Oryzias latipes: one gene and its partner. The protein of the gene in region 2 purifies or fractionates together with the protein of the main gene of each other region. This does not show direct contact. Links are inferred from orthologs where the notes say so. Each region holds a gene or a part of one and is shown on either strand. Other genes may lie near its edges. The genes, in order: ing3 and mrgbp.

Region 1 (4,272 bases), on a different chromosome or scaffold from region 2:
GCAGATGCAGTACCGGGGCTCGTTGGGGTCGTAGGTCCAGTCCACTTGGCTGTTAGCCTCAGCTTCCGGCAGCGCCGACGCCTGCTGAGAGAGCTCCTGAGCCAGTGCCGAGGAGGAGGAGCAGGAGGACAGGGAGGAGGAGGAGGAAGAGGAGGACTGGTGACTGGAAGACTTGATGTTGCTCCTGGAAAACAGGGACTAGAGGTCAGACGGGTCCGAGACACCTGCGGTGGGACGGGGGTAACTTACTTTGACTTCCGACCTCTGGAGTCAGAGGTGGTGCTGGGAGTGAGCGTCTGGGTGAGGGTGGAGGCCAGGGCGGAGGAGGAGTAGGAGCCGTCCCGGGACACGGAGAACTCTCGGCCCAGCTGGAAGTCGTTGTTCTTGATGGCCTCGTAGCTGGCTTTGAGGCTGGAGGTCCGGCGGCCTTCCTTCATCTGATGGGACGGAACAGACGGGGGATGGAGCGCCACCAGCGGGGCCGACATGCACGATTTTAGGATGGGGGTCGGGTTCTGACCTGGGCTGTGGCCTGTACGGCCTGCGCCGCCGCCAAGGTGATGGCGCCGGCGCCGGCCCCGGGTCCTGCGGGCAGAGCGCTCAGGTTGTAGGAAGCCAGGGGCTGAGAGGAGTTGAGGCTGTAGGCGCTGTTGGTGGATGCAGACATGCTGTTGGTGCGGCAACCTAGGGGGCAGGAGGGGGGGGGGGCAGTTAGCTGCGTGGAGGCTCCGCCCTCCAGCTGCATGGCTGTTATCTGCAGATGCTACCTGGCGTGTTCTCCTTGGACGGATCCGAGGTGAGTGTAGACAGCAGAGCCTCAGACTTGAACTTCTTCTCAGGAATGTGCTCCACCGTGTGGTGGGCGGGGGCGCTGCACTTCCTCTCTGTGGACAGAGGACACGGTGACACGTGAACCTGCTGCAGAGGTCCTGACATCACGAGGCGGAGCTGAGGGCGTGCAGCAGCTTACTCTCGGCTGTTATGTGCGAGTGCATGTGATGGTTGTTGACCGGCTGGGAGGGACTGTCCATCTCCAGTGACCCTGAGAAGAGCACAAGGTCACCGCTCTGCCTTTCAGCCCCAACGAGTCGCTCTGGAATCGAACTCACGTCTCTCCAGGATCTCTGTGATGCCGGCATTGTCTGCCTCCAGCTCCATTTTGAACTTGGCCAGCTCCTGGTCCAGTTTCCGCAGGTGCCGGTCCACCTGGAGGCAGAGGAGACAACAGGTCACATGAGCTTCTGGACGCGGTGCAGCAGGTAGACCCGGTCCAGCTGCTGCGGGGCGTCTGTTGGTGATGAGGGAGGAAAGCTCCTCCCCAGTGGTGTTAGGGACAGACAAAACTGTCAGGGAACTCCGTCCTGCTACGGTGGAACCTCCAGGCGATCCGGCAAACCCAGCTGGACCGTCACTGTGCAGGAGGTCAGAGACCATCCGGTCAGAGCGGCAGACGGTTCCACTCACCAGATCATAAATCTGATTGGCCAGCTGTACTTTCTCATCTGCGTCCTCCAGGGCCTTGTAATAATCCTGAAACACACCAGAAACAGAATCTAGATCTGACAGGTTCCTTCGGGTTCCTCCAGAACCAGCAGCAGATTCCAGACCTTCTTGATAACCTCCATTTGCTCCTCTCTCCACTCAGGTTTGTTCTTCTTTGCATTGATGAAGAAATCAATGACCCTCTGCTCCAGCTGGTCTGTGGCGTCTGAAACAAAGAGGCGGGAAAGAACTAAAGCACATGACATCAGCTTTCTGGTGCTGGTTCTGGATCAGACAGGAACCTAGAAGAACTCTCTTACTGTCTCCAAAGTTCTTCCACCTGCAACTGCATCAGAGGTCAGATCTGAGACTGGGGGGGGGGGGGTCAGTCCACCTAACTCTGACCCTCCAACAGCTAGGGGTCACAGATGACCCTGGAGGACTTTACAACTGAACTAGGGCTGCACGAGATGAGCAAAACTCGCCATTTCCAACATTACTGATGAATATTGCAATGACCATATAAGTTGTGATGCATATAGCAAACTATCTAAATAGATCATTTCCATTTCACTGCAACAGCTTCAATTAAATTTAAAGTGTACGTTAAATTACACTCCGAATGCCCCCCCCCCCCCCCCTACATCAAAGGGCTCCATCTGGTTGGTCAAATGCATTAATGGATTTATGTGATTCCTTAAATCCTTCAAGCTGCCATAAGATTGTTTGAGCACATTTAAAGTTACATTTATCACAGCTTGATATCAGGATAACGATAAATGAGTGACTGAATGTGCCTCAACTAACAAATACTGATGTGATAAAAGTTTGAACAGCAGCTGCGGTCATGACGTCAACATGAAAGGCGGCGGATAATGAAGGGATGTGCTTTGATCACCATGACCGCCTGACAAAAAGGGGAGGGGCTTCAGAATCTCAGCCACATATGCGTAAAGTGGCGCACGCAGCTCTACAAAACCTCACTTAGTGAATTATTAAACGAGCTGAAAGGTTGATAAGTTCCGTTGACGTGACTGAGGTGTCACCGGGTTCACGGACATGTCAGGTGTGTTAGCTCCGGTAATCTGGCCTTTTTTAACCGCTCGCTGGCGGTTCGAGTCTCCGTGCCGCGGCAGATGTCCCAGCCGAGCCCGGTGGTTGGCGGAAATACGTACTCTGCACCTGCAGGTCCATCTCCCGCATTTCCGTGAACCTATCGCGGAGGTCCATGGGAAGCTGCTCGATCACTGCCGGAAAAGGAAAAACACGTTAGCATCCGCTGCAGCTAGGCTAACGGAAATGCACGCGGCGGCCACACATAGACACACACTGTGCACACATAACGGGCCGAAGTCGGTACCGCCGCGACGCCCCGGTCCGGTACTCACTCTCAAGGTAATCTTCTAGGTACAGCATGGTGGCAAAGTTCGCGCTTTGGCCGTTTTAGGACAGAAACGGCTTCTTCCAATATGGCGCTGCCTCGCTGACAAAAACACTGGAAAAAAAATGAGGTCAGACTGCGCCTGCGTGACGTACGCGGCTTTCGGATTGGTTCAACAATGAGGGCGCGGTTTTTCCTGTTGTTAAAGGAAATGCATCATGGGAATAGTAGTTTAACTTGCATACTTTTGGACTTTGCACCAAATAAAGATGTTTTACTTAAGATTTTCGCTAATATTATAAACAGAAGGTGGGCTTGGCCTGAGATTATTTAGCTGCTGAGACCTTAAGCAACGGGTCTGTTTGTCTGTGATGAAAATATCAGGACAGAAACGCTGCTATAAACCAAAAATCACTTCATAAGGAAATCACCGATCTATGTTTTGCCTATCTGCACCTTTCTTTCCTTCCTTTCTTTTTAAATCTTTTTTTTTTCTTCCTTTTCTTTTAAAGTAAATTTTATGTTGATTATTTCTATGATGTATTGTGATTTTAATGCATTTTTCTGTTTTGTGAAGCACCTTGAATTACTTTGTGTACGAATTGTGCTATACAAATAAACTTGCCTTGCCTTGCCTTGGACATGATCTGCTTCCATGCCCTCACAAAGTTGAGCAAAACATCTGGAGTTCACAGCATTACTTTGAATGAAGTTGATGGTTTTCACAGTGACATCCATCACCTCATGGAACTCTGGAGACATTTTTTTTGCTGCAAGGTTTTCACGGTGGAGAAAACAATGGGTCCATTTAGCTTCTGGCGCAAGATCAAGTATCTGCTTGATGACACCGCGATGCCTGCCAGTCATTGACGCTGCGCCATCACAGCACACTCCAACACCGTTCTGCCAGTCAAGGCCATTCTCAGTGAAGTAGTTATCCATGCAGCGGAAACATTCCTCAGCTGTAGCTCGAGTTGGAAATTCTCCACAAAACAGAATGTCTTCTTGCAAAGAGCTATCCCACCGGTAGCGAACAAAAACCAACAGCAGCGCAGCATTTGTGACGTCAGTCGACTGGTCCAGCTGCAAAGAGAAAAAGGGGCTCTGTCTTATTCTCCCCAGAAGCTGCTGCTCAATGTCTGAGGCCCTGTCAGCAATATGGTGACTCACAATGTCATTCGACAGCGGGATGGTCTTGAGCTTCTTTGCTGCAGCCTCACCAATCATCTCACGGCACATGTCCACAGCGGCAGGCAGAACCAGTTCCTCCGCTATGGTGAACGCTTTCTTACTCTGCGCCACACGTCTGGCTACGAGGTAGCTGGCCTTTAACGCACACTTAGCGTCGCCAGTCAGTGACACGATGGACCCCCTCTGCATCTGAAGCCCATCATCCTTTCTTTTGAAAT
Region 2 (3,349 bases):
TGTGTGTTAGGTGATGTAAAGTCTAAAGGCTGACAGCAGGAAAGATCTGCAGAGGCGCTCCTTCCAGCAGCGATGCTGTGTTAGGCTGTTATCTATTTGCAAATACTGATGATAAAATACTTGTGAATCTGGGTAATTGTGCATCTTTTGAAACAGACAAAGTTCATCCTTTTACACGCCGTGTTGTGTCTGGAACTTCTGCTCTGCTGAAAAAAAAATCCCACGCTCAACTGCAGCTTAAAGAGCACACTGTTTCTAATAATAATAATAAATCTGCTTAGGACACCCGGAATACCATTAACGTTGTAGAAATGTATGCCTTTACTGGTGGTTTTGGGCTTATTTTTTTTTTTCTATCGTCTTTCTGTTCTGAACGTAAATAAGCATGATGCATCCACCTCCGTGCTTCAGCTGCTAGTTCTGGAAGTGAAACGTGCCTCCGAGGCACGTCAACGTTGGGAGCAGGGTCATCTGGACCCCACAAGATAGCACAAGGGTTAAGTCTATATACAGGTGGAAAGCATTAAAGTACCAACGATCCTAACTTTAGCAGGACGTTTGCTGGATTTGTGTCCACGATCCTGAGTTTCTCCCAAATTCTCTCCTGTTTTACTAATGTCTCAAAAACTCAGTTCAGTTGAAAAAGTTCACATTTAATGTCACAAACATCACCATCAGTATCCTACAATGTCAAGGAATACATTGAAAGGGAACAAGAGGAAGTCAAGCCAAACTAAACCTGCCCTTCATGAACACAGGGACCAGTTCAGCATCCAGTTTACTGCAGTCAGTCGGACCAGAACGTGTCAGGAGTGTTGGCTGTCAAACGCAGCGGGTCAGGCTTCGCCGCGGGCCGAGTCTGGGTCTCTGGTGTCGGAACCAAACCTGACCAGACGAGCGCTTTGCACGGAAATGATGCAGCGGACTCGGGGACTCTGCTTTAAATGAAAACGACAGCTTTGGCAGACAAACGGCTGCAAACCAAAGCAGACAGAAAGAATGAAGCGCAGGTGGTCGGGGATTTCTCAACCATCATTTTCCAGAAGCTTCCCTTTAATGCTGGAGGTGGACAAACGGCTGCAGGACCTCTAAAGGGTTTTCTCCTCAACCCACAGCCCTCACACTGATTATCAGCTTTCTTCATCTCTTTTGTTGCTCCTCCAATTCAGATAGACCCACTTTGGAATGCCATTTTTACTGATGGGCCTGAAACATATAAATATATGAGCATAACTGCTATTTCTCGTCTTTAAACCTTGGTTCATTCCTCTCTTTGGGAGGGTTGTGGTACCTGAAGCTTCTTAAGCCTCAGATGTTTTTAAAGCAGGCTGAGGCGCGAGGAGAAAACGGTTCAAGACGTCCTTCACAGAATCTGCAGCCCTTAAAACAAACACTAGCTTACTGAAGGATGCAGTCAGTATTCATTATTAAGCTTTGTTGTCTTTCCTGCTCGTGTGAGCAGCAGTCCTTCTGACATGGTGTTGCAGCAGCAGATGTCCTTAAGGCACCACCTACAACCCCGGAATGGGTCACGATCCTCGTTTCTCCGCAGATCTGTTTGCCGTGACCAAACCTGAGATCTGAAGACAGTCGGCTGTGATTATGCAGCTCGGATCTTAAAAGGCTGTTTGGTGCTGCCCAAAGAAGAAGCAGAGACGCTCAAAGTCTGCGTGGAGCCACTAGATGCCGCCATACGAGCTGGGAAGGCAAGGAACTGGTTTGGATCAGGAGATGCACCATTCAGAAACAGACAACTTCAGTCTGTTTTCAAAGCAATGAGACGTTTTCTTTACAGTGAAATGAGCATGGCTTTATTCTGCAGACGAGCTCCGTGTTTCCCCTCATAGATCTGTTATGGTTAGATCTGAAAGACAACAGCGCTGAGGCTTCGGTAGCCCAGAACGTTCCTCAGACTCTCCTGCTGAGAAGGGGGCAGGGGGATCAAACAGGACCACTTTGATTGACCCTCTGAGTCTCTTCTCCACTTCTCGGTCGCAGCTCAAGAGAAGCCCAGCAACTGATCATGTCCTGCTGAGATGCATGCTGGGAATTTTACACACAGTAGCTTTAGACACTTGAACAAAACAAATAATCTGCAGTAACAGAGCTGGGTGTTGCACAGCAGTGACCCACATCTACTCATCTACAAGTCCAGAGAGGCTTCATTAGCCTGACAGACGAAACCCAGGGCACGCACTACAAACCATCCTTATTTAAACACAAAACTACCACAAAATCAAAAGGTAAGTCCTCACTTTCTGCACGCCACGGTCAGCGCCTGGATCACTATTGTGCTTCATTTCATCCCACTGAGGTCACATGATGAGTGACAGATGCACGGCAGCCAATCAGGGAAGCCTCAGCGTAAAGAAACACTTAGCAGTCGTGTGACATGGAAGTCAGTCCCCTGGCCTCCTCCTGTGCTCATGTGCGCCTCCTCTTGGCTCCCCCTGGACTTGCAGGGTTGGAAGATGACAACAGCTTGTCGGCCGCTCGGCTCCTCTTCCTCTTCTCTGCCTCTTTTGCCCCTCCTCCTCCTCCTCCTCCTGCCGTTGTTGCCCCTCCTTCACTCCCCGCCTTCTCCTTGTCCCGCTCCCTCTCTTTGTCCCGGCTGCTGCTCGTTCGCTCTGGCATCTTAATGGAGGAGTTACTCCCTGAGATGAGACACAAAAGGCAAACAGTTGGGATAAACCATGGTCAGTGTGCTCTTCTCAGTCCCCCAGGAAGTGATGTCATCATGACCACACAGCTGGTCAACCTGCCTAACGCATCTCTGAAGAGAAAATGTCGCGTAAGTCCAGCCATCATTACAACTTCTTCCGACAAAGCAAAAGCCTGAGCTCAAATCCTCGGAGGGCTTCAAATGAAGCTCCGTTTCAGCATACAGCAGGGGGAGGAAGAGGAGGACAGCAGACAAACCTTCTTCGTGAGTTGCTGGAGGCTCTCTCTCCATCCTGAACTCCTCTTTGGTGTCCTCCTCTGAACCCAGCTTCCCTGCACACAGAAGAGGAGACACCTTCCTCACACACAAGGAACAACCCAGAAGGTTCAACAAGGAGGAAGAACGTCGAACGGACCACGATCGTCCCTGAGACAGTTTCCTCACCTGCCAGCCTCTGATCTGAGCGTGTGCTAAAGGGCTGAGTGCCGCTAAGTGAAGCTGAGGCAGGAAGTAAGAACTAAGTTCATTGAAAAGGCTGAAATATTTGCTTCATCTCAAAGTTCTGTCCGAGTTTGAGGAACCAGCGTGAAAGCAGGAGGAGGAGTACGGAGCCTGTGTCCTGACATTAAGATATAAAAATATATCTTGTTCCCACAGATTAATATCTTGTTCCCACAGGTTATTATG

What was found.
Region 1: the proteins of mrgbp (region 2) and ing3 purify together in Homo sapiens (co-immunoprecipitation; 4 studies listed by BioGRID and IntAct, counting the BioPlex papers as one, with this or other methods). This does not show direct contact. The link is inferred for Oryzias latipes from reciprocal best matches to the Homo sapiens genes MRGBP and ING3.

Annotation. Positions count from the first base shown.
Region 1 is NC_019881.2:24,133,135-24,137,406, reverse strand, and holds the start of ing3 (inhibitor of growth protein 3), read right to left. Parts: upstream 2,991-4,272; 5' UTR 2,899-2,990; coding exon 2,871-2,898; exon of another isoform or gene 2,814-2,870; coding exon of another isoform or gene 2,813-2,813; intron 2,730-2,812; coding exon 2,658-2,729; intron 1,709-2,657; coding exon 1,608-1,708; intron 1,531-1,607; coding exon 1,465-1,530; intron 1,207-1,464; coding exon 1,110-1,206; intron 1,043-1,109; coding exon 971-1,042; intron 885-970; coding exon 768-884; intron 685-767; coding exon 521-684; intron 438-520; coding exon 250-437; intron 185-249; coding exon 1-184. UniProt on the Homo sapiens protein: Component of the NuA4 histone acetyltransferase (HAT) complex which is involved in transcriptional activation of select genes principally by acetylation of nucleosomal histones H4 and H2A.
Region 2 is NC_019865.2:29,099,867-29,103,215, reverse strand, and holds the end of mrgbp (MRG/MORF4L-binding protein), read right to left. Parts: intron 2,995-3,349; coding exon 2,920-2,994; intron 2,655-2,919; coding exon 2,425-2,654; 3' UTR 633-2,424; downstream 1-632.